Schizosaccharomyces pombe: one gene and its partners. The gene in region 2 interacts genetically with the main gene of each other region. Each region holds a gene or a part of one and is shown on either strand. Other genes may lie near its edges. The genes, in order: erf2, rho3, erf4 and apl2.

Region 1 (8,335 bases), on a different chromosome or scaffold from region 2:
GGCAACTTATCGGGCAATCCAAAATAACAATCGAATTCACGATCAAGCCAGTGTCTATCTTTGAAAAACCTTGTTTCATTTCGCTTGTAAAACTTATCCCAAGACTTTTTCGACTCCTTTTTATATTTTTCAACCCAAAAATCACTTAATTTTGATATACCACTCATATCTCCTAACAATTTCGTAGCACGGTCTTCTATATGTATGAAAGATGTTTCAAAATATTACCCAACCCAGTAGTTATTCCAAAAAATGCGATAAAAAATTTGTATGACAACGATTTACCCTACAACCTTCAATGAATACCAAACTGGCTCGATCAATTTTTTTTAAATTAAAAAAGCACTATTTTAAATAAAAAAATAACCAAACCTAGTTCGTTAATTCCAAATTCACAAATCAATGCACACTGTGCAGAGAGCGTCTTGTTCTTCCTTGTAAACCTACACCTATACCAATTCGCGCGCACCTTGTGATACTCGCAACTCTACAAATATACAATGAATAGGACTTCAGAAAGTGTGGAACCTCAACAAAATGAAAAAACAGCAGTGCATTGGAGCAGAGAATGGGTTCCTGTTGTTGTAGATACATATTCTAATGAAGATGATGAGGATAATGAAGAAGGAGATGAATCCAGGCCTCAACGAACATTTTTAGTAAAACGGTGGGTGCAAGATAATGTACAAGTGGAAAAGAAGGGAGACGAAGAGACTGCAGCAGCAGATAATTGAGAAAAAGTAGATGAAGTAGGAATTTAGAGTTGCAGCGTCACCTGCCCTTTGGAATATACCTTAGCACCTGCTTCCGTTACCTCGTATAAAAGCTCCTTGTCATCATCCTCCGGGGTCTCGCATATTCCACTACGAAAGTGATTTGGCATTCGAGAAAGACGCAGGAATCCGGTGATTCGTCGAGCGCTACCGCTAGTCAAAGGCCGACAGGAAATACATCTAGTTGCCATGTGTCCGATTGAAGAGCCTAAAGACTTTTGTTGTGGTAACGGAGCTCCCAAAGTCACGTTTACAATGACTCTACTGAAACATTTTCGTAATTCCAAAATTGCCTGCTGAATCTTTGTGGAATCGAGAGCATGAGTACTTTGTAAAATATCAATATCTTCTATGATGATCGTGGAGTTTTCAAATTCAAAATCGTTTTCCTCCACACATTGGATCACAGGCGCGAAAACAGATTTGATGTGATTTTTGGTTTCTGGTGCTTGTACCTTCGAAGGCTTGGAAATAGGAGCAAATAGCATGCTGAAGCCATCGATAAAGAAGAAATTTTTTTTCGTTTTAATATCCATTCCCTAATATTGGTTCAGTAGGTTAGTCATACGAATAGTTTATCATTCAACCACTTATGCAATCGTAATCCCTCTTTTTACATACCCATTTACGCATACTAATTGCATGCTCATCTAAGGTTTTACTGAATGTTAAAAAACAAGTACTTTCCTTTGCTTTCAACGCATGGTATAAATAATAATGGAACAGAAATGTGACAGGTGTTTCTCTTGTTCCCAGTAGCAAAGTTAAAGAAAAAGGCTCAGGAATGGGGCGTAAATGCTCGTGTAAAGAAGACATTAGGTTTAAGAGCCGTTTGTCATTAGTTTTATAGCCTAACTACAGTAACCAGCTTTCCGAATGGTTGTAGAGGGTGAATGGAAAACACAAGCCTGGGAACGGAGCAACATGAACCAGAGTAAGAATGAACAAGCCGGTCAGTAATGCAAAGCTAGTTCTAATATTATAGAAGTTTCAAGTATCAAATTAAAGAAGTCTAATACCAAATTATTTTCCAGAAAACTATCCTCTAAATGTGGATAAGCTATTTCATTAAAAAAAGAAAAACTATCTACCTATGGAACATTGATTTGCCTAAAAGGCAATCATAATAATAAAAAAGAACAATAAAGAGCAAATCCCAATAAATTAGACTGGAAAGGGGTTTAGCTAAAGGAGGTAAAACCATCTATCTATCATATAAGTCATAAAAACAAGCAGCATTACTTTAAAAATAAAAGAGAGCAGCCAAATTAAATATTAATAATTCCAGAGATTGGTGAGAACAAGGAATAGTTTTATAAACATTTGTTTCTGTACATTGTTCTCTGTAAAGTACAAAGGGCGAGCTGAAGGGGTCGACGACAAGGATGAAAAAAAAGAACAAAACATTATCCAGGTAAAAATTTTGAAGAGGGGAGTAATCTTTTTTATTCCGGTTATTAAAACCAAATTAATTTCGGTACTGAAAAGTAAATTGGTAAGGGGAAGATGAAAGAGTGTAGCATATATGCGTGAGCGATTTGAGCATTATTGTCTAGCAAATAAAAAATTTTTATTTCTTATTTTCTTTGTGAAGCCAAGGCATATTACACGTAAGACTTCCTAGTGGGACGAACGTAACTCACATTTTTAGGACGACAAAGGACAACCAGAAAATTGAGCCATATGCTGTCATGAAAAGGATGTACATCTTCAGTTTCTGTACTCTTTGCTCGTAAGTATTCATGAACATTCTGACCAACAGATATTAAATAGCACTGGTAACAGAAAAGGATGCCAGGAAGTATTGCTCCAAGTGCCCCATAAATGCCAAGGAAGAAAGATACGCCAGCCCATGGACGACGAAGATGCGCCGCAAAATTTGTATCTGTGGATTCATGAAAACTTCCTATAGAAGTATAGAACCCCAATCCAGTTAGATACAAAGCTGAAAGAACGACAGATAACAAAAAAATAAAATAATATCTGTAGTTTCGACGACCAATGCAAGTGTTTAACCAAATGCAGTGATGATCAAGGTATTCAACACAATTATCACATAAATGACAATGGCTTGCACGTGGAGGACGATATAAGTGGCACGTATGGCAATAAACTGTATTAACAAAGACAGAGTCAGACCGAGTGGATCCAACAAGGACTTTACGGTCTTCAGGAATTACAGACCAGGGATGGGCAGGGTTATAAGTTAAAGAATATGCATTTCTAGGAAGAATTCCTGGATCAGCAGTCGAGCACTTGAACATGGAAACAACGGCTAAGGCATACAGGTAAGCAAAGGTAATAGGGACAGCGGGAGAGACATGATGCCAGAGCCAAAAAGCAGAAAAGATGAAGAAAAGGACTCCTGGAAGAATCAAGGCAAACAAGCTAATGAGGAAAGCTTTGTACTGAGATGACATTTGCAATCGACCACAACATAAATAGATATTGTTTCCTGGTAAATTCTTATATCGGCTTTCAATATGCGGTACTTCCGGAACATCATCAGGAACGGATTGAAATCTATAAGGAATTTGGTTCTTTTCTTCCAAATTCATGGGATACGTTGGATCAGACAAAGTCACCTCAAATGGATTCCATGGCTGATTCCACGCGTAGCGGGATGCCTTAGCATCACTGTGTTTCTCATAGCTCATGATTATATTCTCTAAACAACAAACATGGCAAAGAAACAGCTATTTTTACACCTGGTATTATATCTTGTAGTTTTGTTGTCGGTAAGGATATGAACCCCTTTTGCGATGGAGGGTGAAGTAAATATTAGCATCCGCCAAAGTTTGTTTACTAAGCAAATAAAGAAATCAAAATAAATAAACAATTAGAGAATGTGACTCTAATAACTAATATTTGGAATGGCGCCTATTTAATCGATGAGAGTGTATTAAAAAGAGAAGGGAAATAAAAACAGAATATGAAATGAAATGCTAAAAAAAAAAATACTAACCGAAGAAATAAAATTAATAATAATAAATAAAGTACTTATTTTTTTTTTACGAATAAAATGTAAAAAAAATTATTTAAGAGTGCCAATATATTAGTATTTATATTTTTCAAACTTTTTATTTAAATATATTTCATCGATACTGTAATTGGAACATCCTGTCAGTACAACAATTCAGGGCTCAAAGTTAGAAAAATCAAGTTTAATAAATTATACTATCCGTGCAATTTCGGGTTTGTAAAGAAAGTGGATAATATATGGAAAAATTAGTAATATATGACTCGATAAAGACTCCAAAGACTAAGATAAAAGACCAATATCATGGGAAGTAGACTAGCTAGTAAACCATTTTCATCTTGTGTATTATGTTTTTTTTTTTTTTTTTTTTTTTTAAAATGGCTAAATAACTAGCAGGAAAATAATGGGAGGGTGTAATTGAGAAAATATTAGAAATGAAGGTACGGAAGCAACGAAAAAAGATCTTAAAAGTTTATTAGAGTGTTGCAACTATTGAAATTATGATTATCGCGAAGCTATTAATGAAAGGGCTAATTTAAAGGATCATCTCTATACTTTCACTAGCCCCGAAATAACCCAATAACCTCTATGGCTTGTAAACAAATAACTCAAGAAACACGGTATATGGTCAGTTATGGATGAAATTTTGAAGAAAAATTATTACTAATCTACATCTAAGAAAAACCATCCTGGCTTCATTCACTGTATTTAGTGGAAATGTAGTTCACAAGATTATCGAATTAGATTGTTATTCCTCAATATGCATGACTCCAAGCGGTCCTTTGGTTTTATTTCCTGTTTTAAAGGGAAATGAATTAAATTCTTATTCCTTAGAAAATCTCAATGACGCTTTTAAACGTACTTGTACATTGGACCTACTTTACTGGAGAAACATTTGCGGTCAGCAACTACTATTAAGTTACTAACCTCATGGCAGCTAAATTTTGAAAAATGACTATATTTATTTATAATGGTACGAACCATTTTTATTTGTTTGCGAAGTTTTTTAGTGTTCTCTTCTTATTATTTACAAATATAATCTTAGGAAAAGTTTAGTAAATAAGTGTCCTAACAAATTCTATAGTATAATACAAGGGTAGAGGTAGTATCTGAAAAGTATTATAAAACTGTATAAAGCAATATAAATACAAGGGCGGTTCGATCCCGATTGCAAACGCTGGAAAATCTAGAAATATTGGAAAGTTGCTTCTTTCACCACTTTAGTAGAAGGAGTTGGTGATTATTATGATATTATTATCCATTCAAATTTGAATCTCTTAATGCGCACCGTTGCTACGTCTTGTCTGCGTCAGGTGGCGATCCCCATAAATATTGATGCTTGTCATAAATGTTGCGAATGTTCGCCTACGTATTTCATTTTGACATTTACAATCATAAAAGGATTTTAGATCCTTTCCATCTCGAAACAATTAATCAAACTATTCAAGCGAACAAGAACTTTTTATTTTTGGAACCATCATGTCAATTATGCGCTCAATTATGTCGAACCGCCTGGTTCGCTGGTCAAGAGAATATCCAGAACTATTTGTAAGCTCAATTTTTTTTTGAAAAATATATTGAGTTGATTATTTCGTAAGCTGATCAGTTTGCTGTTAGATAACTTGGTGTGTCATGACTTATACCTTTGGAGTTGCTGGTTATATGCTTGGTATGTTAAAAATTAGTAGAAAATTAGAAATCAGCGCAGTTAATGAAACATTATACTCAATTTTAATATTCTGTTAAAATTTTCCTACAGAATATTTATTTTACAAGCGCATTTACATATGATTGTTTAAATTAAATGATTGTAGCTAACAGTTTTTTAGGACAGCGGGGCTTGTTGGTACAACATGAAGATCAAGTCCGAATTCCTTCAAAAAATGCTCACCCCTGGGAAGACACCAAAAGCAGTAGCGGAAAAAGTGATGAGAGTCTTGATTATAGCTACAAGTATTATCCTCGAGGAGATAGGAGTAAAGAACCTCGAAAGGCACCTTCTGCTATTCAATACAGCACTTTTCCCGTTAAAGGTGTATCAGAAGAGGTACTTGAGCGATTCTCTAAGTAAAGCACATTAAATTGTGTATAACCTTTTAGGAATGAAAGAGAACAATTATTACATTGCCAAATATTTTTTTAGTGCTTTTTCACTTTACAAATATCTCACTCTCTACTTTATGGTAGGCTCTCATTTTTGGAATATTTGCCCTGATATATTGCAATATTTCCAAACATCTTCTTAGTTATGATTTCTTGCTTTATTGCTTTAATGTATAAAAAAAATATTTGCTTATTAACCTGTGTTTGAAAACGGAGTTTAGGCACCACTTTACCAACTTCACAATTTATACAGCATTTTGAAGATAATGATAAATTTGTAAACAATAACAAAAAATAAGCTTGTTTGAGATTTTCAAATAACTTAAATTGACCTAGTACTTGTTGTCGTTTAACGTTAAGCTTAATCAATAGCCGAGTAATTAGTAAATGGGACTTGCCGAAAACAACGCTTTTCAACTTAGAAAATTTAGCAAACCCACTCATACCTTTTAATAAGCATGGTCAACGCAGCCATAGTTGTTTCCTCAAATCGTCCAAATGTGCTTGAACAGATTTCCTCCTTGTTTAGAGATGGGAAGACTCGTTCTCTGGGGGAACAGTGGACTTTAGTATCAGGCCAACTTAAAGGAACGTTTGAAGATGCTAAAGACGCTTGTAACCGCATTTCTGCTACTGAGAATGTAGACTGTAATTGCTTGAGTGAAGCAACATTTTCCACTAAAAAGAAGCTTGTAGTATTTGACATGGACTCGACGTTGATTCAACAAGAGTGTATTGACGAGCTCGCGGCAGAAGCAGGCATCCAGAAAGAGGTTGCTACGATTACATCTCTTGCAATGAATGGGGAAATTGACTTTCAAGAATCACTTCGTCGTCGCGTTTCTCTACTACAAGGGTTGAGCGTCGATGTCATAAATAAAGTCATTGGCAAAATTACTTTCACTCCAGGAGCTAAACAGCTTTGTCATTGCCTTAAGCAAATGGGTGCGACTCTTGTTGTCGCTAGTGGTGGATTTGTTCCAATGGCTGAATATGTCAAGGGACAACTGGACTTGGACTATGCATATGCCAATGTACTTGAATTTTCCGATGATGGTAAATTCCTCACTGGAAAAGTTCAAGGTGCAATTGTAGATGGACAACGAAAAGCTTCCATTTTGCGTGAAAAGAGGGAAGAGTTGGGTTTAAATAAGCTCGAAACGATGGCTGTTGGGGACGGAGCTAACGATTTGGTCATGATGGCCGAATCCGGTTTAGGAATTGCGTTCAAAGCTAAACCCAAAGTTCAATTATTGGTATGTTCGAAATTTTTTTACAAATTTATGTTTTTAATGATCTTACTAACTCGATTTTTTTTTTTAATTAGGCTGATTCGAAAATCAATCTTCCATCTTTGCAAAACGCTCTTTACCTCTTGGGTATTGATGAGCAACAACAAAAAAAGCTATTGGAAAACAAAAATTAATTTAGAATTTCCAAGAATTTTTCAATCGCAAGGCGCTGTCAAGAACTCTGAGCTACTGTGGCTTGGTTTTTATAAAGCAATATTTTACTTGTGCGCGTGGTCTTTTTTTCTGTAGTAGGAGCCGTCTTTTATATACCCTACTTCTTTATTTTTGATACTCTTATTTTTCTTTTTCCTTAATTTACAATTTTGGTATGATCAATGCTTCATTGGAAAGGGTGTGCAATGAATGCTTAAAAAAAAAGGGGCAGTTCAGAAGCTTTCTTCTTTAAAACAGACAAGAATTACTCAATTGGTTTTTATAAAGCCGATCATTTACTCTTAAATCTGCTTCGTTATGCTGATAGACTTTGAAATTGATTCGTGCAATGACTACACCTTCGTTTCATAGACCTTTCTTTATTATCATTTATTAATTGTAAATAATACAATTGTATCTAGTTATTAAGAGTTGCAGAAAACATGTGCTTTTGACGTATTTCAACACCGTTTCCCTTGTATATATTCAGAGGTATTCATATACTACTACCCATGCGAGATTCATTATGGCTAAATCACCATTCCTGGAGCTTTCTTACGATATATTGCTAGAAATTAGTACATATCTTGATTATAAAGATATAGTTCATTTGTCAGAAACATGCAAGTCACTTTCGTATGTTTTTGACGACAAAACAATTTGGCATCGATTTTGTGCACGGGTCCAAGGTCTCACCAATGTAGTCCCAGTTGTTGATGATAATTACAAAAGACCCTATGCTGTATGGAAAGACCGAGGATACGCTTACTCATGGGGGCAACAGATAAGAAACTATTTGGGCCGCGTCGTCAATACAAATCAGTATCCTCGAGATCGTCCTGGTGCATTGACTGGGAAGGACGTTCGTTCTACTATTCAGGTTCAAGTTGGGTAAGCGCATAGATACAGGAATTTATTTGACTGCACTACAATGACTAACTATTCCCTATGCGGAATTTAGAGGTTATGGGATGTATTTATTAAATGAAAACGGAAATTTATATGTTACGGGGGTACCAAACAATGTTGGGCCC
Region 2 (8,285 bases):
GTAGCTGGCCTTTCTCCTGATATATTCAAATGTTTATCACTTGAAATTTCTTTAGCATCTAAAGATTCACGAGCACTCGTTCCAGTTAGAATGTCAAGTCCACTAGTTGATGAAGCAAAACTACCAACAGATACATTATCGGCAACGAAAGAGGTGGTCCTTGAAAGTGGTGGATGCAAGGCATTATTTTGTTCGTGTGAGTCGGACATGGAATGCATGACATCCTTCAGTTCCGTCAGTTGATGCTGGGTGCTTGATAAAAGAGTTTCTGCATCCACAAGTTGCTTTTTCAATTGGTTAACACGCTTTTCAGACGCAACAGTCTCCTTCCTTGCATTTGCAACCATACGATTAGCTTCTTCAAATAACGAGCTAGTTAAATCTTCTAGTTCATTTTCCACACGGCTTTTCTCACTTTCTGCGTTACGGCATTTCGTTTCCGTAAGCTGAAGTTTCTCTTCAAGGTTATGAAACTTTACTAACTCCTCGTCAAAACTTTTTTTTGCTGAGAGTTTTGCTTCCAGCTCTCTAATCCTTTCTGACAATGCTTCGTTTCTATGTACCTCAGTAGCATATTTATCATCAAGAGCCGCCTGTCTCTCAATTGCTGCCACCAGCTTTTGAGATAATATTTCTTCTTGCGACATTAATTTACCGTTTACTTCTTTTTCATAAGGATGCTGGTTTGGTTTTACACGCACATTTGAGACATCAGGCATAAAAAATTATAATATAACTTAGTTTAGCGTTAAGTCAAACACAAAGAAATTCCTTTAACAGCTAACGTTAGTACTGACATATCATGTCAAGGTAATTTACGGCGTTCATACACTTGTATCATAAGACGCTTTGGTGTCAGTTACGAAGTTCATAAAGTGTGTTAAGGATACGATAGACTACGGTGAGTTTTCATTGTGAGCAGTATATAATTTTACGTAGGTAAGTTTACCCGCAAATTACTCTGAATATTTAAATAATGGTAGCAATGATAATAAAAAAGACTTGCATAGCTTACAACTGAACTAAGAAAGGTGGTTTATCTTGAGCTCAAACTTGATAATCTTGAGTTTATAAAAAAGGTGAATTATAGCAAATGATATAACTAAAGCCATGTAGTGATAAATAACGAAATATGCAGCGTAATGTTATGTAACTAACACTAGTGATTCATTAAATCGTATTAAAGAGTATTAAACAACATGTTTCAAACAATTATTAATTCGTTGAACAATTTAGCTATACCAATTGTTTACGTTGAAAATACTTCTTCATCAATAAGTTTTGGGGTTGACTATGATTTGGAAGTAATCGTCTAATAATCGCTTATGCTATATGAATAGGTGTTGCTGTCACACACTGGATTTTGACCAGGTTTCTTCGTGATAGCAGACTGCTTTGTCAAGATAAGGGTAATAAGTACATGTCTACTAGAAAAAGAAAGTTAAAAAAAGTATTACTCACCAATATGGTCCTCTCGACACAATTGATTATGCTAGCGCTTGTTAATTGCTATTATTCCATAGCAGTACCGCAAATCTATCGTTAATCCTTTGCAACACCACAAATTTGAGCATTACACAAGTCTCAATTAAAAAACATTTGTGCATCAGTTCTTGCTTAATAATTAGGCTTATTCATAATGGATGAAGAATTGCAAGCTATAAGACAAGCTCGTTTAGCACAACTTCAAGCTGAACATGGTTCTGCCCCTAGGTATGTTCTTAGTTTCGAAACTTGCATATAAACTTCAAAACTCTACGACTGAAAGTTATAATTTTTTATTAGAATTCACTTGAAGGATTATGTTGGTAAATGACGAGATTTAATGAATCATTTTAAAATTACACAAAGGAAATCCGATAGTGAATTTAGAAACTAATTTATTTATATACTCCATTTTTTTTACAAGAATTAACAAATCTAGTAATATTGCTTCAGGTCCATCAAGCAATCAGCAACAACAGGAGGTACAAGATGAAATGCGACAAAATCTAGTATGTTTATGATGTGTATGGTCCATATCCGACTAACAATTTCATAAGCTTTCTCAAATTTTGGAACACCCAGCAAGAGACAGACTTCGTCGTATAGCGTTGGTACGAAAAGATCGTGCTGAAGGTAAGTGTGATTTCATTTTCTGCGGCGGATAATAATTTAATATCTGTTTACGAATAATGTAAACATGTGTCTAATTTGTGTAGCTGTTGAAGAGCTCCTGTTACGTATGGCCAAAACGGGCCAGATATCTCATAAAATCTCAGAGCCCGAACTTATCGAATTGTTAGAAAAAATTTCTGGTGAGGTCTCCAAACGTAATGAAACAAAAATTGTGGTAAGTGCCTTACTAATTCCTTCTCTCCTTTTTTATTTCAAATTCATCTGAGGAGAGAAATATCAAAAAAAAACATCTGTTTATATTACATGGTCCAGAGTTTAACTGTTTAATTAGATCAATCGACGTGTTCAAGACGATGAGGATGACTGGGATCTTTAATTTAAAGGATAAAGACATAATAAATTTTGTTTTACTTTCAAATGGATCAAATTGAATTAGGGTTGCACGGATGCACGAATACAACATATTGGGTAGTCTAAATTTTTACAATTTTTAACTTCAATTACGATATTTAGGGGTAACACTTCATATTACATAAATATTTAAGGTGCTTTCTAAAACGGTAGGATTTGACTCAGACCCATGTCTTACAACCGAAAGACTAATCCTTATTGCTCAACAGTATGCTTATCGTAAAAGAAAAGGGGTAGATTAATTGATTAGATTAGCAACTCAACGATTACACGAACAGAAGGAGAATTGAACAACTCAAAGTGTACAAGTTTCAAAAAAGAAGGAAAGTAAGGTTCACTGCAAACACTCTTTTTCACGATTGTACAAATACCTGCTGTTTCAAGTAGGAAGGTAAGAAAGATAGACAATACACCTGAAATAAGGAGATAAACTCATTGGAAACGGACAGAATCCCCAAGTGTCAAATTTAAAACCTTGAGAACAGCAAAGGGGATAAAAGTCAAAAGTACAAACCATTGAAAAAAGGTTAACGCTATTCAAAGGCCACCGCAACACCCACACTAACGTCATATACAATAATAAACTTCGAACATTAGAAATAAGACTTTTAGGCGCTTTCAAAAGAAAGTGCTTTCAAGCAATGATACATCCGGTACCATGGGATTCATCAGCACCATCCTTTGTACCTCTTGGTTGCGCGGCAAGGGCAACGCGTGCAGCTTCCGTGAAAGCTTCATTTACGCCACGATTTAATTTAGCGCTGCATTCTAAATATCGTACAGCGTTGATTTTTTTTGCCGCTGCCAGTCCTTCCTCGTAATCAATAATTTTACTGTGATCAACTTGCTCCTCATCAGCTCCACGTAAATCACATTTTAGAGCAACAAGAACCAATTTAACACCAGGGCAATTACTAGAGACTTCCGGAAGCCATTTTGTGATTACATTTTCTAATGAGTCTCGTGAATCCACGGCAAAGCAGATCATAATAACATGTGTATCTGAATATGATAACGAACGCAGTTGATCATACTCTTCTTGACCAGCTGTATCCCATAGAGACAGTTCTATACTGTTTCCATCGACAAAGATATCATGAATGTAGTTTTCAAATCTATTTTTAGGTGTTAGATAACGGAAAAAGTTTTTAAGTACAAGAAGATAATCATGTAAAGAAGTGGTGAAAACCCTTAACAGGTCAAGCATAGTAAAAGCAATTTGACGTTTGGTCATGAGAAATTGTACGAGTGTGACTGTATGGAGAGCACACTCGGGCATTCTCGTTTTCCTCAGAAATGAAACAAATTTCCACAAATTAACCCGTTAGATAAAAGGTTTGCAAAAAAAGATGCTTCATATTGAGTTATACTTGATATTGCAGACGGTAACCTCATTTCCGCTCCGCCGTTTACAGCTTTGCACTATTAATGATACTTACATAGTAGGCTCGTATACCTGAGGGAAATAACCCTTAGTAAATACATTTAACAAACTGGTTTTACCAGCAGCACCTATAATTTACGGTTAGAATGCTTAGCTGCGAAAATCACGAAAGAAAAAACAAAATTTTCACCAAGATCCTTACCATCACCAAGAATTACGATTTTCCGATAAATAGGCTTCTTTTTACTTCCGAAACAGCTTGACATACTTTCAATGAGCTTCAATCAAGCTTTCTATGGGTTTTTCAATGGTTTCTGTATAATAAAGGATTAGAGGTGTTTGGTTTAGGTACGAATTTTGTACCATGAGCTAAAGCCTACGCAAGACCCCAGCTTACTGCTTAGCGAAGGACATACATGTCCTTGTGCGCTGTAGATTGGCTTCTACATTTCAGGTAACAATCAAATTTAGAATAATTAAGGCGATGCGAACCAGTTTATTAAAAGAGATACGGAAATACGTAATACAGAATGAACTTCGCAAGTAGGATTGTTTCATAATATATTTTGATGAGTAAAGCATTAATTCATTGATGAACAAAACCTTCGAAGGATAGTTTTACTAAAATATATTGGGGAAGTCTACTCTCAGTCTCAAAATGAAATACACGGTATATATAACGTGATTGCTAAATAGGAAGAAAATCAACAGCACCAGTTAGTGAAAGTTGACCAAGGGCTTGTCAATTTTGAGGCAACCCTTTCAATTGAAAGTTTAAAATTTAATTGAAAATCGTACTTTGATGAGTTTGAAAAAGGAGTCACACAATAGTACAACCAACTTTACCGTGGTTTGTTTCATGATAATAGTTTAATTTGCACAGCAACTGTTGGAATCATGAATTGAATAGCACCTTTAAAAGAAGAAAATTTTGTTTGACATTTGAATATGCTTTTAAACTTTTTGTGCCGCTTTATGGCTACTTTCCATTATGTCGTAAAGTGTTTTTGCCGAGTCATTCAGAGCATCTGTATAATGTTGAGTTAAAACAAGCCATTCGGCTACAAAAGAAAGCATCTGTAATTCCATCTGTTTTCTATGATAACCCAATTGGAATTGGAAAAACCATTCTTGAGAAGAATCGCAAATTTGAAACTCCTTCGCTACCTTTAACGTTGTTTCAAACGCCTCGCACAATTTGCTGTAAACCATCATACAGAATTTGAGCATTTGTTCAATTTGCTTTGCTAGTGACATAAATACCATCTTTACTGTGTTCGAGGTTGACACAGACGTTTTTTTCATAAGTGATTGATTTTTGTACAACCTTCTTTTTGCGCGCAATAATAGTCTACTACGTTCACTGATAAATACCATCTCTTGAGTTACATAATTATACATTTCTTCTGCGTAGCTTTTTGCATTTTTTGAAGATACGCTAATTTTCGTCAAATTAACTGTTACGTCCCCAAAGCTGGGATTATCATCACTCAAGCTTTTCATATAAGTCTTCCATTCCATTGGAGAATCAATTAGAAAACTGGACACCTGATTCTCCATTTTCTGTATTGTGAGGTTAAAATGTGAAGGGATCAATACACGTTTTCTCGTTTAGGTGCGCTGGTAACAACAAAAAAGTAACAAACAAAAGGAAAGTCAGCAAAACACATAATAAACCAACATGTAAAAAAGTGTTAGTGCAATTGCTTATGCCCTCAAATTTGTAATTGAGTGTTTATAAAGTTCATTTCCTTATGTGAATATTCGTATTATCAGTTATGACTCGTTGCTCTGCTTGCGACTTAAGTTTGCTACCATGCGTTTTTCTTACAACAATTCAGAGATTATTTTCATGATGATTGCTACCGGGTTGCATGAATTAACAACTTAGTTCAATTGTTTTGCTTTTACGATCAGTTTACCCTCTCTCATATTGCGGCGATAATCTGATATTTCAGAGAATTTTAGTTTTTCAAATTGCGAAAAAAAAAATTTTTCAACCAACTTGTATTTCATTGCTAGTGGTTTATTTCATTGATTGGTGAATGTGGTTTAAAGGGAAACTGAACGTTAATAGATCATTAAAAAAATTTCTGTAAGACCCCCTTTTCTTTATTTTTCCAAGGATTTTTAAAGTATTTGGACGCTTGAATGACTTTCTATTATATTAGAATTTTAAGACTCCAAGAAAAGCTCGAAGAATCCTTTAAATACGCTTTACGAGTGGTTTTTACGATAACTTCTGATCTGGGCGAAGTTTCATATCCGCAAGATGCAACCGTAAGGGTTGAAGCATTGGATAGACAACAATCTCACAGTCGTATCACAATTTCTAAGCAATGTGTTTCATGGATAGGGAATGGTCACGCGGCTGAAACGACTTTGTATTTTCCTGCTAGTCACCAGCAAATTCAATTGACGCTGCATTTAGAAAATCAGAATTCAATCGTTGATTCTATACACATAAATGCCGATACTGTATTACCAGTTTGGAGTGAAGCTTTTTCACCGAAATCTACTTTACCTAATATGGTATGGCGGTATATCCAAGGCCCAGAAAAAAAGTCACCAAACGATGGTCTCTGGTTTCTCGAACAGATGGGTAACAGTATTGCTAAGCACTTGTGGGATGCCGGCGTAGTTTTCTCAAAAAAGATTCTTTCTGATGATTGGCATTATAGCTTTTCCAATAGAAAAGACATCAATGTTTTAGAACTAGGCTCCGGATGTGGAATTGTTGGTATAAGTATTGCTAGCAAATATCCACGTGCTCTTGTGTCAATGACCGATACAGAAGATGCGATTGAATTTATGGAAAAAAATGTTGAAAAGAATAAGTCTGCAATGAGCAACAACATAACTTCTGATATTTTAGTATGGGGACATGACATTCCTCGAAAATTTCGGCGTCATTGGGATTATATTGTTATGTCAGATGTCATGTACAATGAATCTAGCTTTTCTGATTTGGAGGCAAGTCTTCAGGAATTGATGGATAAGAACACAAAGTTATATATTGCGTACAAAAAAAGACATGACAATGAAAAAACTTTTATGAGCAATATATTGGGATGGTTGGATCTTGTTTACGAAGAACGTGGTCCAATCACTATTTACATTTTACAGAAAAAATAAATTTACTTTGCATCATTTTCATTTTTCTCTTAGGATGCGTTGCTGAATCTGTCAACTTGCGAATCTCGTAACTTTTTTGTAGCAGCATGTTTATATTGAGATGTCTTTTCGGGTTCTTATACACAACGGTCTATAAAATTTGTAGCATCGCATAAAACCAATTTTGCATCTAAACTATCAGCGAACTTGGGAACCCATGTAAACTCTGCAAAGTACATTTTCTGTAAAATTGAATTTCGGCTTCCAGCTTTTTTGAATGGTGTTATGACGACTGGCGCGAATTTAATGATTTAGCATATTCTTTGATAAAAAAACAACTCAACATTATATAAAGCAGTTTCCTTTATTTATTCTGCTTTATTTACCCTGTTCTCTGTATGCCTTGAAACTGGCTCGGCTTACGTCATATAGCAGCGCATACCAAGTGTAATACCCATCAAGCATCACGCACCATCCATTCACCCAAACACATAGAAAAATACAATGCAGCCAAGGTTTCTTCTACACGGAGCGCTTTTGGCATTAGGAATACAGCTTTGTCTGTCAATTGGTAAGTGTTGAGTTGCTTTTCTACAGAAACAGCGGCTGACCCGGCATTGTCTAGGCAAGATTACAGGCCACATATCGTCTATTGAAGCGACTGCAGCTGATATACATGATGCGCCTAGTACAACTACGAAGTATGTTCAGCGAACCGTTTACGCCGGTAGAGAAAAGGGGAAAATAGGAGGACCAGCCGATTCTTGGCCTCAACGAAAGCTTGATGACTTTCTCCAAAATCATGGGGTAAAGTCACTGGACGTTCCTCCTATCGAGACTCCTTCACAGTTTTGGAGGAAGCCATTACAGTATGTATCAAAGGTAACCGACAAATGTAAATCTTTCTATGAGAAGGAGAAGAATCATGCTTCTCATAACGCACAAAAATTGGACGTTTGGATTTTCAATTCATGGACCAACTCCGAGCTTTCTCGATGGCTTATTAAGAATAAGTACGAAGTTCCAGAGCCTGGAACCCGAGAGCAGTTGTTGGAAACAGTTTTCCAAGCATCAATGGGCGATGCCATTTCCACCAATGATGAGTTGGAATCCTGGTCAAATAATCTACTCCTTTCTATGTTGGATCAGAAAAACATTACAGTACCAATTGGTGCATCACATGACGACCTAATCGTCTTGGCTAGACGTTATTACGATATTGAGGAAAGAAAATCGCAAGACAAAGTGACAAATATTA
Region 3 (6,376 bases), 1.8 Mb from region 2:
AAATCTCCTGTGTTCAAAATAAAAACAAAACAAGTAAGAAGATAGGAAAAAAAACAAAAAACGATTCAAGCATAAATGACCCGAGAATACTCTACCCACCGTAATATTACACCACGAATTTGGTCCCACTGTTTACTGTCAATTTGGAGCCAATTCTCATGAAGTGATCCACAAGAATCACATGTAAAAGGTTGCATCCAAGAAAGATACTCATTTAATTCCTTATGTACTAACCTTTCAACCTTGAAACTCACTTGGCATGGCTTAGAAGTTTTGCCGGGATCCGGGAAAATTTCTAACACCGACCTGGAAAAGGCACAATTTTTAGGGTACTCACGAAGGTGTCGCTGAAGGTCAGAAACTCTGGAAATTTGGATGAGGGTAGAGTCACCTAAAACGACCGAAGGGTTATTTTTCTGCTCAAATCTGTAAACGCAGATATAACCCGGACAATCATAAGAATCCTGGTTACAAAGCTCACTTTGTAAAAGAAGTTTACATCTTTCGGATAGTAGCGGATTAATCCAATCTTCTAATACAACAACTCCACGAGTAGGAATAGTTCCCGGAGAAGCGACTAATGAAAGTCTGGGTGGAAGATGTTTACGATGAACAGGAGGTATATTGGCACGCAAAAATTCAGGGTCAACAGGTTCAGTAACATTTAAGACAAAAGAATCCCCATTATTTAAATCCTTTACAATTGTAGTAACTTCTCTAGGCTCTGACATCTGAGTTTCATAAGTTTGTGGATATACTGTTTCGTAAGTAACTGGACGCCATTTTAACGATCGAGACAACCATCTATAAAATCTCGTTGCCTTACGACTTAAGGACCACCAAATAGACCACAAATCCCGTTTCCAGCAATCCCACTTATCTTGTAAGGAGTTCGAAAAACCGAGGTTTGTAGAGCTCTGATTACCCAATGTCTCAAATTTTGAAGTAGAGGAATATTCATTCACGTCTGCAGCTTCCGATTCTACATTTGGGGAAGGAAAATCTGTAGAGATTGATACTGAATGCAGAGTATTCGGCATTTTCATGAAATCCTAATCAAACAATATCAACATCCTTCAAAGCCTCTAAAGTCTTAAAATGTATGAACAAACTCAATTACTCGTATTTTCAGATATTTTTCAAAAGTTTTAACAATCAGGGAAACGGAAAAAGCAAACTGAGCTTAATGTTGACATTGGGATTCGTTTAAGGAAACGATTCATGTTACGTTATTTTATTTACCGTAAACATTTTTGCCATTCCAAGTGCCACTACTAAGAAGTAGCAATAGTATTGGCACTAAGTAAAAGGGAATTGACGGCAAGAAGGAATGCTCGTGAGGGATTTGTTTTGGAGTGTAGTTCTGTAATTTTTACCAGAAATTGGCGAACCGTTTGCTTGGTAAGGTGAGACTGAGATGCAGATAGAGATATAGGATGGGCAAGTAAATGCATATGGAGGTCGTAGTATAAACAAAGAATCATCAATGCAAGACAAGAGGCGGCTTCTTTAGCATTTCCTTCATCGACAATAAATATAGCATCTCTCTCATAAAATGGAGGATCAAGTGAATTTAATTCTTGCAATATTGAAGGGAAATGCTTGCGAAACACCGGAGCACCTTTTTTTCCTGACGGTATTGGAAAACAAAGTTCATTCTTCACATTCAGGGTGGTATTCGACAAATTCAAAACAAAGTAAGATGTATTTTCTGGAGGGGGATAAAATCCCGTAACATCCCCAACAAATATAGGAGTTGGTAAAAGATGGGTTAACGAAGAATTTGACATGGTAGGTGAGTTTCTAGTTGAAGATAGTAGGAGGCTAATTTTTTGCTCCAATTGCTCCTCTGGGCATGTGAGGATAGATTCAGTATTTTGCCAAAAGACTTCAGGGGTCAGCCCATGCGACCATTCTTCTTCGTCATCTGCTGCTCCTTGAACGTAAAGAAATCCATGTTCTCGGGAGTACCCATTCTGTACTTGAGCACTTGCAGTAACCAGAACAACTGTAAAATATTCTTCAAATTGTGCAGATGTTAAACGACTAGCAGGTGTTACCCATAAAGGACGAATGGGTTTAGTTAGCTTAGCCGCCAACGCATCTAAGTCAATGCCGGACTGCATTAAAGAATCTACAAATCCATCTAGCCTCTGTAAAATAGATGATTTTTCTGTATCAGGTAAAAACGGGGGTAAAAAGGCCAAACGAGCATTAGGAAAGGAATGGGGACGAAGCCGTTCGAAAACACATTTATTGAGCGTAGCAATCCATATCGGAATCGTCTTTGATAGAGCATCGGGCATTCTCTTTCCACGACGAGTAGAATCTACTATAATCAATCCATCACAAGTGGTTATCTCATTTAGCAAATGCAAATTGAGACGACGACAGCTAAAAGACCATTGCCCGGTATGACCATCAGTACTTTTGAAATAAACAGAAATCGGAGCATGTCGTCGGTTGACATACCACGTACCGCATCGTTCATTTACAACAGGTTTAAATGTGGGGTACGAAGCTATAACTGAGTCGACAAACTTGGCATCGTGTGCAATTGACAGCAACCGATTCTTTCTTGAAATTAGTGTTAGCCAAATTTTCCATTCGATGACATACAAATAAAAGAAAAGCAAGGCAAAAAGGAAAAACAAGTAAAAATCAGCAAAAATATATATCAGTACGAAATCCAACAAATGGCGATTAGGCTAAAAATTTTTCATGAAAATTTAATAGCAGCTATCCATCGTTTTTTCTTACAATTTGCATTAATTGCTTGTGCGTTTATAAAGGTAGCAATCATTTTCTAAGTCTTTTGATTCTGCCAGCTTATTTGTATAGCAAATTGAGACTTACGGGTGTCTTGCTTGAACATGAATTTGTTGCACAGCGTCTAAAGGGTCGAATTCGTCCATTCGTTTGGCAGATCACTTCTGTGAGAACTAGAAGTTGAGATATTTGAAGTGGTGGCAGTCACGGCAGAGGGAAGTGTTCGTATAGAATGGTGCTCCGGGCAGTACGGATTGGAATGGAGAGTACTACTTTTCGAATTTGTTTCTTTTGTATGAAAAACGAGACTCAAAAACCCCATATTGCGAAGGCTGGCAACGTATAAATTATGTTGGGTTGCAAAGTCCAGGATGTACAAATCGATCGCCCCAATTCTTTTACGATGAATACTGCCAAATACGAACTCCGAGATATAAATCGTTAAAACAGATAGAATTCCATCTAATAGATTTCCAATTGACCATGGACAGAAGGCTTCTCTCAGTTTCTCGTTTAATGTGTGAATGAATACATCCCAATCCTCAAGATTCACATAAGCTCGAAGAGGTACAGGATAATCGGTTGGAAATTGAGGATATTTATCTCCTGAAACCGAATAATCCCTTTCAATGCGAACAAGCATCGAAAAAACCTACTGAAATGAAGCTTGGTGGATTCCCTAGCTCTAGGTTCAAGTGTACAATATTAGAAGACGGATTAGAGAATATGTATAATGAAACTGGGATTCGGTAGAGCACAAGAAAAAAAATAAATAAACAGGAAAGTTATAAGTTAAACAACGTTAAAAATGACTAAAAAATTATAAAACACTCATGAGTTCATCGATTGATCATATAACCGGAACTAAACAAACAAACGTATTAAATGTCAGAATTGAGTGATTAATTGAGTGAATAGCTGTAAAATGGGCAATGATAACTCATTTTAAAAAATCATTATGATTAATTGAGTGAGTTTCAGATTTGAAACAAAAACCACACAGTTTGTCACTAGGTAATTTGAACGGATTTATAGTGAAAATTAAGATTGATAAAAGGATGTGGTTTTAGTTGTTGAGGAATTGAAAATTAATAAAACGTATTGCTCGTTCAGGAAGAGGATAAAAGCTCTCTACAGGATATATTTCATCTACGATAAAAGTTACTTAGAATGAACTGGAAAAACTACTTGGGAAAATAAATGTAATAAAATATAAAAAATATTCGACTGTATATTATATGAGCATTGACTCATATTACTTTAGTCGTTAGATGAGATAAAACTTTGACAACGAATGCGGGCTTTTTTGAAGTCCTTGCTCAGTCCAAGAAGAGCGTCTTAAATCAAGTTCAATAAACTTTTTTAGCTGCAAGGGAAGTTAGGTTGCTTTAAAGTACTCAGCTATCTAAAACTCATTGTGCTTGCTATTAAGTTAAGCGTTAAAGATCCTATTAGGCTTAATATCGTCTGCGTTCTATACGACTTGAAGCTTACTCGCTTCTAAAAGGAATATTCGTTTAAATAAAAGAAACATGCTAAATATATATCTATAGATTCTTACAACCAACTTTTCTTATCCATTTATGCAAGTTGAATTCATGATTTGAAGAAATTCCAAGAAAGACGATTAAAAAAGAACCCTCCTTTACGAAGATGAAAATTTAGTTTCTCATGATACCCATAACATAACTGTTTAAAGGAAATATGTATCGCATTACACTGTTTTGTTTTTTTTTTCCATAGGTAAACAATAGAAAAAGTGTTACCTGTCTCGAGTCACAGAAAATTCGTATGATCTACAATCGCAACCCCAAACTACTTACCATCTACCACCTAATCATTGAAAATTAAAAGATTGCTCTGCGATTGGTAATTGCTAGCATTTGTGATTCACCACTCCGTCTTTACCTATATTTAACTATACTTTGTCAATTTCCCCCTGTTTGATACTTTTTAATTGTTTTACTTATCCAGGATGTCTGAAACGTTCAAGCTTCCCGATCATGACGAACTTCCCCAGCTAGTTCAAACTACTCTTTTTGATGTTGGAGCCAGAGTGTAAGTTTAATCCAATTTTTTACTTTTAAACGTTGAATTATCCAAAATGCTGATTGTTCTGCTATCTTTTTTTGTAAGAGACAGGGCTTAAAGGTCTAAGTACTTTTTTGAAAACTTATAATACAATTGTACTGCAGCACGGCATTTGATGATTTAACTCTTTTTTAGTCTTTTTGTATAATAACTAACAATCATTTAGTCGCAAAGGTACGTGAATCAAATTTAAAAAAAAAAAATGAGTGGATTTGTTTATTAATACCTTAATCAAAAATTTCTATAAAGCACTCTTTCTTCATGTTTATACTTTTAATGGAAAACTGTTTTTATAGAAACTACTTCCTTTCTACCTTTTTTCCTGTTTAGATGAAAGCAGTTTTTACTAACTTTAGCAGCTGTTCAAACTGGTTACAAATTTGACCAACAACTTTTCCCTTCTTACCACAAGGATCAAACTGATAGAAATGAGCTTCCTCAGCAAAAACATGATCCTAATCTTCGTCTCGATGATTTGAAGCAAGAATTGGCTGCTGATTCTATTTTCTGGGATACCGCCTCCACTCAAGAAATCGCCGATTCTTTTGCCAAGCCTGATTTTCTCAAGTCTCATTAAATGAATAAATGAGCAAGATAAAGCTTTCGATACTATTGGGTAATATGTATATTTTCAATAGCATAAATCTTTGTTATTGAGATGAACTATTACTCAAAACTATGAAATTGAATTGAAGATAAAGATTTACTTAATTTATTTCTTCGACTTTGCTTTCTAGTTTTTGCTTGCTTATTGTAGTATTGTTTACTCATGAATATGCGGACTCAGTACTAGTAAACTATACTTTTTAAATTATTTGTTTTGTGTTTCTTTTTTCTCGTCGCTCGCTCATCTGCTATAGTTTGTTCCTTTGAACATTTTCATAATAGTACCATTTTTATTTTCAAATTACGTTAAATGTGTTCAAATATTAAAAACTAAGTACCCTCTATGCAAAACCAAAATTCCTTGTCCGTATGCGTCTTACATTCACAAATATAATCAGCTTAAATGTTCCAGGTAAAAAAAAGGAAAATAAAACACCATTTGAATGTGTCGAAAGTTACTAAAAATCCAACTTCCATAGCTTCAGTATTTTTAAAGGTGGTATAAATAGTTAAGAAGAAAAAGTCATTATTTTTTTGTCACGAAAATCAAATTTTCCTCTTTTTTAAATTTTTATTTAGGTATCATGCTTTTTGGCAATAGTAAAGTACCGCCCACGAGCTTACCTGGCGCTGAGAAAGTAACAGGACGAAATCCCTTTTTGAACTGTTTTCTTTCTTTTCGTTTTTTTGCTAACACCGTACCACTCTCCCGGGCTTCGTTCTCAATTACTTTCTCTATATGTTTCTGTTTCTTCTTCATTCCTCTACGAGCAGCCATTGGCATTTTCTCGGTTTCCTTCTTACCGCCCAGTTGAGCAATGTGCTGCTGAACGACTTTGTGACGGATTTTTCCTTCAGCAACCAACTGAACTTGACCTGTCCTTGAGGTTGCCTCATGTAAAAGATGAGA
Region 4 (9,536 bases), on a different chromosome or scaffold from region 2:
ATTCGAAGGTTATAAATGTGGATGATGGGTGAATAATTGAATAAAATGAATGTACACAAGGTTTTCTATACGCAACGGTGTTGTATGGTATTAAAAAAAAAAGATACCTTGCAAATAAAAGGAGGATAAATTGAAAACATTAATAAATTAAAAAGAAAATCAACATTGAGTAAAAGCAAATAAAATAAATCAAAAAGAATAAAGAAAAAAATAAAATAAAATAAAAAATAAAAAAATGATATGCAATGACGAAAAATTATGAAATATACAATTCTATTCTATTTCATTTAATTATTAAATTTAGTGGACGTAAATTAAAGAGAAAATTCAAATTTAATATAAAATTATTAATTTTGTAAGTTTAGACACAATAATCCATCAAGTAAGCATAACTCTGACATAAAGTAAATAAAAAAAAAAAAAAAATTAAAAAAAAAAATTTAATAATAATTATAATAAAAATTTAAATGAAAAACTGTTCAACATCAATACTTATCATAAATATTCCGACTCAAAACACTTCCTCTAAGAGTTTTTTCATCTCACTCATAATACTTTTTCTATCCAAATTTCCGATGTTTTTTCCCATACCATACATACTGTGGCTTAAACTGATAACTTACTATTCCTCCTTAACAGCCAAGAGTTGACTGTTTTACCAAGTCCATTTCGAACTGCTATGATCGTTTAATAATGTCATTTTGCACATATTTGTTTGCCATATGCATGCACATTTGCCATGCCCCTTGTCCATCTTCTATGTGCTGCTGGAAAGTCGGGTAAACGGGTAAAATTGAAGGTTTGTAGCATGTGTGTATGTGCTATCCCATCTAATGAGCTTGGATGGAGTTATTTGCTTACTGATATTGCAAAGGGGGAAAAGCGAATTGGAGACTTTTTTCTTGCATTAGAAGGGTACTATTGATTACCTTTTGTTTAATAGGGCACCTTGGCAGAATGCGAAAAAGTAAGCCAGAAAAAAAGGAAACTCTAGAAAAAGAGAGGCAATTGATTAAAGAGTATTAATAATAATAATATTTAAAGGAAGAAAAGAAAAGAAAGCCAATAATCGACTGCTAGAATATCCAACCCATTTAAATTTTTCATTTTTTTAACGAACTCTCGGCCCATCTCGAAAACATATTTTATCGATACCAGCCTTCTACTTCATTAACAAGGATAGAGTACCGATGGACTACGATAGGTGATTTCGCTGCACCCGATTGCTGTATATTGTATTTCGCCCCTGTGACCGTTAAGATTTTGGTCAGACTGAGTGCAGCTTTCGGGGTGCAATAGTAATGCCAAAAATTCAATGGCGTGACATGCGATAATATCGAAATTTCTGTAATGTAAAGCGACTCAACTTTTTCCTGTTCGACAAAATTTGATCATAGGGGAAAAAACGAGATGAAGTTTGGCTATTCATATAACGATGAATTTTATGTGCTGGAGGGAGCTCGGTTGAACCTATTACCATAAGTATTTTTTACAAACACATAATTTTACTGTTTCGTAGCACGGTCTATTATTGTAGAAATGTTTTAACCTTTATAAGCGAGATAAAACAGTCAACTCGTTACGCAAACTTATCGACACTTTGCGAGAGTTAAAGTTACCAAGCTTTCCTACATCGCTGGTTGGAAAGACATAGTTAAAATGAAGCTGGTTTGCTGGCTTTCAAAATAGGAAGATTTCCCAATGTTTTAGTATATAACCGAGATCGCTTAAAATACTTTACTCTGATATCAACAACTCTATGTTCATATCCGTTATCAATCAACAGGGAATTGAGGAACCGTAGCAGTTTTTGTTAAAGTAGAGAAAATGTCAAGTGACCCATAAACTTGTAAATTGGAGATGAACGAACCCCTTAAAAAACCCATTAACGAAACGATTCCCTCTTTTTTTCTCATACAATGAGTTCTTAATAATAAAACTCACATGACAAGTCGGTTCATGAATTCACTTTACTTTGCACTAGACTGCTACAATTCCCTCTCCTTGAAATTTCCAGTACTGCATTGGGACGAAGTTGCCTAGTGTCTTGCCGTCGAAAGGCAGTTTTTGACTCGGCAAGCTTAGAACGTTTTCATGAAACTCTATCAATTGCATAAATGGATGCAAAGACAAACTATTCACGGCATTTGTTTAAACTATTTTTGGATACCGCGATGTAAATAGTATGTATACGGCCTTGATATCCTACTGTACCAACTGTATACTAAATAACGATGCGAAGCGTAGAGGGTTGAAATCAGTAGGAAAAAATACCTACTTTCTGGATTATAATTTCAACCATTCTTTATGAGAATACATTCATGTTGTATTTAGGATCGGTAATTATAGTAATCTACCTTCTCTTTCATCAAAACACACTCTTCAACATGCTAAAAGATCGATACAAAATAAAATCGCAAATGGGATAGTCCGCGCTATGTTATAGAGCATTACGTTGCCATTACTCACCCCACATTCAGTTACTCTATTATACGTAGTTTGTGATACTTAAGGTGATATCGTATACTATGTAAAGACATGCACCAATTCCGTTGTTTAAAATACCAATGTTAATTGCACAGTTTTCAATTCTCCCTAATGTTACGCAGTTTGGTATCTGATTTAAGGATACGGAGAACTGCGGTGAGTTTTCCTTATGGTCTATTTATATTACAATACACAGGTTGTATAAGTAGCAACTGAGTATAGGTATTGTATTAACTGGGTTATAATGTTACCTATCACTAATATAGCTCATAACTGAACTGAGGAACGAGGTTCAGTTGTAACGCTATTTATAATATTTCTAAATAGTTGTTATTAACGGGTATCTATGTATATAGACGGATAATTACCCGTGATTATCAATAAACGGATCTTAGCTAGTATTCCAACATATGACATATAGTGATACGCAACGTAGTGTATCATAGCATAGCGTTATATTAATGGCACTACATTACTTTTTACAATACGATGTTCAAATTTTGTGCATTGCGTTAATGTTTAGTATTTTCAGAGTATGTATATCCACTGCTATTGATTTCACTTCCCCCAAGCTTGATGAATTTTCCTTGATCATGGAAAATGGAGAGATTTTACTGACCAGCTGGCTCAATCGGTCAGTTCATATTGAAATTTTTGATGAGAGAAAATTCATCGGAAAGTTCTTGTGCACTGACAGAGAAGGCGCTGCCATTCTCTCAAATACCACAGAATACAACAAAGGTAAGATTGATATGTGTTCATGAATAGCGCGTCCCTCAAATTCAAGTAAACTTTCGCTGGGTTACTGTTTAAATTGAAAACAAACGTTCCAGCTAGTACCTCTTTCTGTTTTTCACCAATTTCGTCAAAACTAATATAATGAAATCAGGCTTCTCTAGAGCTTTGGGTTTAGTGGTGATTCCAGGAAAGCATATCAAAAGCTTCTCCGTACGTGCCTAAAGCACCCATAAATCTCCTTAACATTTTCATCTCACTTACGTATGTATGTATATATATATATATATATATATTGGAATGAATTCAAAAACGAATATCGCCAGGGATAATCATTACATTCGTACAGATTAAAAAACGCCTATAATTAACATTACAATCTGTACCACTCGTGATAGCACCTCAGTGATAATGATTACTGCAATGAGCAGTCCCTATTTTTGCTTCGCATCCATTTTAACAAATATTTTTTTATTTATTTATAAAAACGAAAGAAGAACATGCTTTCTATGTTAAAATTGACTTTCTGATTTGGGAAAAAACAACAATTGAAACATATCTTCATAAACTAGATGTGCATCAATCAACCTTATCCCGTTTTTCCCATTAGACAAACGAAACGAGATAAATATTAATAAAACAAATCATCATCTATCATGCCACTCATCTGTCGTTTATCTTTAAAGCCCTAACAGATCATCTGTTGCCGATCTAGCCTTTACAGGTTCAGCGTTATTTGTGCTCGGTGCCTCAAAAGCCATGAACAAATCCATTGCACTATTTGAGCCCGACTGAGGTTGTGCGCTGGTTATTGGAGAATCACTGGCAGACGTTGCGCCTGGATCAGTAAAATCAAGGTCAAGCAAATTTTCAACGTTGGCTCCTTTTTCAATAGCTTCATGAACATTGGCTTCTTCAATGTTCAATTCTTCAACAGCTCGACGCTGTATTGCGTCTGCGCCAAACTTGCCCTGGCCAATAAAGGATTCCGGTAATTTATGGTATACAGAAGCAAGAGTTGTGATTTCACACAACAGAGCATCCAAAAGTGCCTCAGGTAGATTGTTATTATAAGATACGGAAGGCTTTTCGCAACAAACAATTTTTTGAGCTTTACGAACATTTTCAGGTGTCAACAACCGCTGATATGCAAAGGCACGATCCCTTAAATCCTGATTGCTTGATTGATTAATTGCATAATTTAATACTTTCTGTACGAGTTCTTCATCGTTTCCTTTGCCGTTCATCAAACTCAATTTTACAACAGCCGTCAGTAAAGCCAATTGAATCTGTAAATCTTCATCCGCCATAGTAGAAATCATTTCGGATAATAGTTTAGAAGAAGTAGGTATAACGTGTGAAAATTCCCCTAAAATCCAAGCCATACTACTACGGGCTCTAGGGTCACCAAGCTCCTCAATGACACGAGAAAGATATGGAAGTAATAAGTCAATCTTTTGAGGGTATTTGCGCAAAACCGTTTCCATCACCACCGTGACTTCTTGAACCATATAACTAATATTTAACTCATAGATTTCAAGAAATATGGAGATGCAATCATTGATGACGCTTGGAACTTTCAATGCAACGTCTCCAAGGCATTTAATCGTTTGTTTCACAAATTCTAGTTCAACTTCGGAAACGTACGCTCGAAGCTCGGAAATGGTCTCGTTAATGTTTTCGTCACATGCAAGCATTGTAATTATCTTTAGTTTCTCCATTTTAATATAAAGAGGATCATTATATTTGCAGAAAAAAACCCGAGTTTTGACATCAAAAATAGAAGGCCTCTTTTGTAATATTAAATTAATGTTCCGTAAGGCTACATACTGGATTTCTGAGTCCGTAGAAAGTAGCGTCAAAAGAGGAGGAGCCATTTTTTTGTACAGAAAGTCTGTAAAGTCACTGGAAAAGAGAGGGATATGTACCATTATGACTTTCACAGCGGACAAAACGACACCACTATTTGCATGTTGGAATTGAGGAACCACCCTTTCACAAACATATTCAGCTTCCTTGATATCAGAAGTGCGAAATCTAGCTAAAGAATTCAAAATAGTAATCCGACCCCACTCATTACACTCACTCAAAGCAACCATTAGCCTGTCTGTCATCGTGTAAACTACATTAAAATATCCCTTTTCAGGGTCCTGATCATGAATTTCAGCAAGTGAGCGGACTGCATTAGCCACAACCACAGGATTCGGATCAGATACCAACGCCTGCAATTGTTCGATGAAACCATTTGATGCACAGTATTCTCGATCAAGGTCATACATCTTTACAACACAAACCGCTGCAGCCTTACGAACATAGGGATGCTCATCCTTCAAAGCTTTTCGCAACGGATCTGCCAAATAGCCAATGATTTTATTTACCCGAATGCAACCCATAGTTCTAATTGCCAGAGCTCGTAAAGTAGGATTATATTCCTCAGAATCCTTTACAAAAGTATTAACGGCTAAAATACAAAGATCAGGGTGTGTTTTGGCATAGTTAATTAGATATAAATAAACCAGTTTTTTCAAGGTGATATCGCGAGTAGCTAGGTTCTTTAAAACATCGGGAAACAGACTAGACACATCCTTGCCAACAGTCATTGCGGCAATAGTCCGTTTCACAGCATCAATTCTCTCGTAGGCATACTGAGAAACTAGTCCCTTTTGTAATTCACTTGTTTCGCTTTTTTTAAATGCCTTAAAACGGCTCGATTGAAACAACTTTGGAACCATTCGGTACTATTGTATAATTCCGCTCTTTATGTAGCTCTTTTAAAGGTGGTAAACGTCCTAAGGTCAAAAACACGTTTACATATATAAAGCAGTGGTTCAATAATCATGTCAAGTCAAACCCATTCGGTGAGAAACACCCACTCCCAGAAGTAACAAAGGTGACAATATCGAATACTGAAATCCAATTTCTATATATTCATGATTTCATTTTCAACCTGCAATGCTTTAAACGCTACTATTATGACCTTTAAATAAATTTTAAAACATTTAATTCAGTATACAAACAAGAGGTTGAAATGTTATTTCAATAAAAGCTATAAGTTAATTGCCGTAAAAATGCGATTCAAGTAAAGCAATACCCTTTTCCAAACATTAAATAACTAATAATTATTGTTCAAAATTGGAGAATAGTGAAGGGAAAAAAAGTAGCCCAATAGGTTGAGGCTGTATGTAAACGAAATAAATATGACGATAAATGGAAAAAATAAAATAAAGAGAATTGATGGAAAATACAAAAGGGGAGCATTTGTAAAAGGCGCTGTCAAGTCGGCTATGATTTAAAATGTCGTTTATAGCGATAGTCAAATCACGAATACATTTTAGTTGTTGTAGGAAAGACGAAAATAAAATGAAGGTAAACAGAAATTAAAATTCGTAATAAGCCAAGTTTATGCAAAAGAAAGTTATTGAAACCACATGAAAATCAGCATCCACGATTCAATCCCTAAATGCACGGTAATTCTCATAATATCCAGAAAAACGATACCCAAATGATTCGTTAAGAAACATTAAAGGATAAAATTAAAAAGAGAGAAAGGAAGTTTGAATAAATTAAAGGATACCCTGCCTTTTTGATGCAAAAGAATATATGATTTCTTGAAAATATTAAAGGTAGAATACTCTACAAAGTTGTTTTAACGTTGCGAACCAAATTGTTTATTCCACTCTTCGTAACGATGAATACCCTCTTGTGAGACACTTGGACGAATAGTACGAAGGCTAGCTTTAAAATGATTCAAGCTGATCGGAGGTATCATCTCTGCACTGGTGGTAAGTAGAGCATCACCCAAGTTTCTTAAAGGACCCATTGCTGCGTCTTTGGCTAAAGCAGTGATATCAGAGCCTGAATAACCTAGATGGCGTTAGTTAACTAACCAATCGAATTATTTATATACATACCTTCGGTAAGATTGACAAGTTCTTCCAGATCCTCCTCCGTCAAACAGTGTACTTGATTATGAAGCAAATGAGAAAGATGTTTATATCTTGTTTCTTTTTCAGGTAACGGAATATAGGTTCTTTTAACGAATCGGCGTCGAGCAGCCTCATCAATACACCACGGAAGATTTGTAGCTGCCAGCACCAAAACACGGGGAGAGTGACCAGTTTGCTTGTCCGGAGCCGCATTAGTTAACGAAGACCATTGAATTAAAAATTCTGTTTTTAATCTACGAGAGCTCTCGTGCTCATTACCGCTGTCATTACGAGCGGAAAGAATGGAATCAATTTCATCAACAAAGATAACGCTACATGTCTGGCGCTTCGCAACTTCAAAAAGGGCTCGAACCAACTTTTCAGAATCACCAAGCTAAATCAAGGTTAGTTAAGAATGGGGTTAAATATAAAACTTGCTTACATATTTCGAGGTTAATGATGAAGCCGAAATCGAAAAAAATGTGGCTTTCGCTTCGGTCGCAACAGCACGAGCAAGCATGGTTTTGCCGGTGCCAGGGGGGCCAAAAAGAAGCATGCCTTGTACGGGTTCACGCAATCCTTGGAAAAGTTCCGGGCGTAAAAACGGATAAATGACTGCCTCTTTCAAGGAATTTTTAGCGTCATCTAATCCGGCAATGTCCGACCAGTAGACAGGTTCATGGTTAGAAATAATTTCATTCATAATAGCATATTCAAAATCACTTGAAGGAGTGGTCTGTTGAAGAGGTTCAGTTTGTTGAGTAGTACTAGCTGAGATAGTTTTTGACACAATTGTCTTAGAATCAGCGGTTGCCGGAGGAGATGTAGCAGGTGATCCGGCTGTGTCAGCGGAAGACGGTCGAGTGGAAGAACCAAGGGTATCATGAGAAGAGTTTAAGTATGGTTTATATGGGCTAGGATGCTTGCGCGATTTTCCATCGCTGGATGAATGCGATGCAGACGTAAGGGGGACGGCAGGAACATGGAGTGGAGGAATTGGCGCATGGAAGGAGAGGGGAGTGCTATTGTTAGCATTTTGATTGTTTGACACCTGAATAGAAGGGCTAGATACCGAATTGGAAAGCGTCGGTTTAGTCGTAGACTGACTTTTCATAGCGGTAGGAAAAGTGGTGGAATTCATGGTAGCAGAACGACCTGTATCAGAAGAAAGAGCAGAAGCAGAAGCGGCAGCACTCTTAGAAGCAGCAGCAATGGCCGAAGCAGAAGAATTGAAAGAGGCAAAGGGATCTTCGGGTTTGAGGGGTGGAGAACGGTTTGGCTTAGAGGGTGCCAGATAAGAAGGTGCATCTCCATAGGAAGAAGAAACAATGGATGAAGTGGAGGTAGAAGGAGGCGAATGCTTGGAATATATTTGCTTAGGCGTAGATAAATTTACCTCCGACTGCGCACCTCTCGTCTGTCTGTACATCATCCTAGTAGTCATGGGGGTATACGCAGGTGTTTGAGATCTTACTGGACGTAAGGGGTGAAGATCAACGGGCGCCTTCTTTGAAAGTTTGGCTGCAAGTTGATAATTTTGCCTTTCCATTTCACTTTCCAAAATCGTCTTACGCAGCTTGCTTGCCTTGCTCAAACAGTTGTCATAGAGCCCGTTCCAAGAACATGCCTCTGCGCCCGTCAAAGGTCCCAATCCCATGCGATCGCGAGCTGCCGACGACTTCTTCATCTCCTCTAAAACCTTGCAGTAACTCACATACGCACCAGCCCAATCCCTATTTCCTTCACACAATAATGCTCTTGATGCTATCGGTAGTATTCTATCCAAGTCTGAGTCCATTTTCCGCAGTCGACTCGTCAATGGCTTTTTTGCTTTTGGCAAGTTCAAATGTCAAAAGTGCTGTCTTGTCGTTAAAAATCCCATAGAATGTTCGAAGTAACGCTGTTACTTTTCAGCCACTGGTTTTCTTTCATCTCTTCAAAAGCTATTTGATAAGGAATTCGTATTGGAGAAAATCATTTTATTCATAGATTCAATAGATGAGTAAATATCTTTCTTTCACACTCTTTTTTTTTTCCCGCTAATTCGCAAATCCGGAAATTTGTTTACAACAAAAAACGTATTATTAACGATATTAATCATTTCATCGCTATGCTAGTAGTGTGGATTAGAGAGCACTTTAAAATCGAGCGCCTTCGACTGGCTGAAAAACAGAAGCCAAGCGGTTTTCGATGAGAACAAATTTGCGAAAATTTAAGTATCTTTTGATATACCTACAAATTCTAAAAAAAATTTCTCTAGTTGAACTTAACGCTCAAATAGAGCTTTTTTTAAGAATACTTGAGGCCCGGGAGATGTAAACAGATCAGCTATGTCTGAAAGGAACGGGATGGCACTTAATGTTGATAAATTTTTTATTTTTTAAATTC

Evidence for each region.
Region 1: of rho3 (region 2) and erf2, changing one suppresses a phenotype caused by changing the other (phenotypic suppression), as found in Schizosaccharomyces pombe (one study listed by BioGRID).
Region 3: of rho3 (region 2) and erf4, changing one suppresses a phenotype caused by changing the other (phenotypic suppression), as found in Schizosaccharomyces pombe (one study listed by BioGRID).
Region 4: of rho3 (region 2) and apl2, extra expression of one rescues a mutant of the other (dosage rescue), as found in Schizosaccharomyces pombe (one study listed by BioGRID).

The regions. Positions count from the first base shown.
Region 1 is NC_003423.3:1,864,020-1,872,354, forward strand, and holds erf2 (palmitoyltransferase Erf2), read right to left. Parts: upstream 3,514-8,335; 5' UTR 3,431-3,513; coding exon 2,378-3,430; 3' UTR 1,802-2,377; downstream 1-1,801. Other genes in the region: trm141 (actin binding methyltransferase), read right to left, coding at 1-167; protein tam8, read left to right, coding at 501-734; elongator complex subunit Elp6, read right to left, coding at 758-1,312, 1,395-1,589; SPOM_SPBC3H7.08C (uncharacterized protein), read left to right, coding at 5,233-5,301, 5,371-5,422, 5,583-5,824; phosphoserine phosphatase Ser2, read left to right, coding at 6,315-7,112, 7,184-7,282; F-box protein Pof9, read left to right, coding at 7,828-8,192, 8,263-8,335. UniProt on the Schizosaccharomyces pombe protein: The erf2-erf4 complex is a palmitoyltransferase with a major role in driving sexual development. Palmitoylates ras1. Palmitoylates isp3. Palmitoylates rho3.
Region 2 is NC_003424.3:1,037,429-1,045,713, reverse strand, and holds rho3 (Rho family GTPase Rho3), read right to left. Parts: upstream 4,266-8,285; 5' UTR 4,180-4,265; coding exon 4,116-4,179; intron 4,042-4,115; coding exon 3,969-4,041; intron 3,735-3,968; exon of another isoform or gene 3,645-3,734; coding exon 3,164-3,644; 3' UTR 2,631-3,163; downstream 1-2,630. Other genes in the region: guanyl-nucleotide exchange factor Sec2, read right to left, coding at 1-719; SPOM_SPAC23C4.09C (chaperonin-containing T-complex associated protein), read left to right, coding at 1,640-1,713, 1,925-1,994, 2,043-2,118, 2,202-2,332, 2,450-2,494; karyogamy protein Tht2, read right to left, coding at 4,868-5,473; efm6 (methyltransferase), read left to right, coding at 6,065-7,048; nuclear bridge Ish domain protein Les1, read left to right, coding at 7,532-7,598, 7,653-8,285. UniProt on the Schizosaccharomyces pombe protein: Involved in controlling cell shape and septation. Regulates cell separation by modulating the function of the exocyst complex. Involved in post-Golgi vesicle transport. Involved in driving sexual development in a palmitoylation-dependent manner.
Region 3 is NC_003424.3:2,825,773-2,832,148, forward strand, and holds erf4 (palmitoyltransferase complex subunit Erf4), read right to left. Parts: upstream 3,413-6,376; coding exon 2,894-3,412; downstream 1-2,893. Other genes in the region: protein mug113, read right to left, coding at 66-1,046; rit1 (initiator methionine tRNA 2'-O-ribosyl phosphate transferase), read right to left, coding at 1,275-2,577, 2,857-2,915; spd2 (ribonucleotide reductase (RNR) inhibitor family), read left to right, coding at 4,745-4,827, 5,027-5,034, 5,220-5,437; rRNA processing protein Faf1, read right to left, coding at 6,038-6,376. UniProt on the Schizosaccharomyces pombe protein: The erf2-erf4 complex is a palmitoyltransferase with a major role in driving sexual development. Palmitoylates ras1. Palmitoylates isp3. Palmitoylates rho3.
Region 4 is NC_003423.3:673,681-683,216, forward strand, and holds apl2 (AP-1 adaptor complex beta subunit Apl2), read right to left. Parts: upstream 6,062-9,536; 5' UTR 5,955-6,061; coding exon 3,903-5,954; 3' UTR 3,448-3,902; coding exon of another isoform or gene 3,377-3,447; 3' UTR 3,229-3,376; coding exon of another isoform or gene 3,081-3,228; 3' UTR 2,953-3,080; downstream 1-2,952. Other genes in the region: putative NatC N-acetyltransferase non-catalytic subunit Naa38, read left to right, coding at 3,081-3,228, 3,377-3,447; knk1 (AAA family ATPase), read right to left, coding at 6,869-7,086, 7,134-7,542, 7,591-8,946.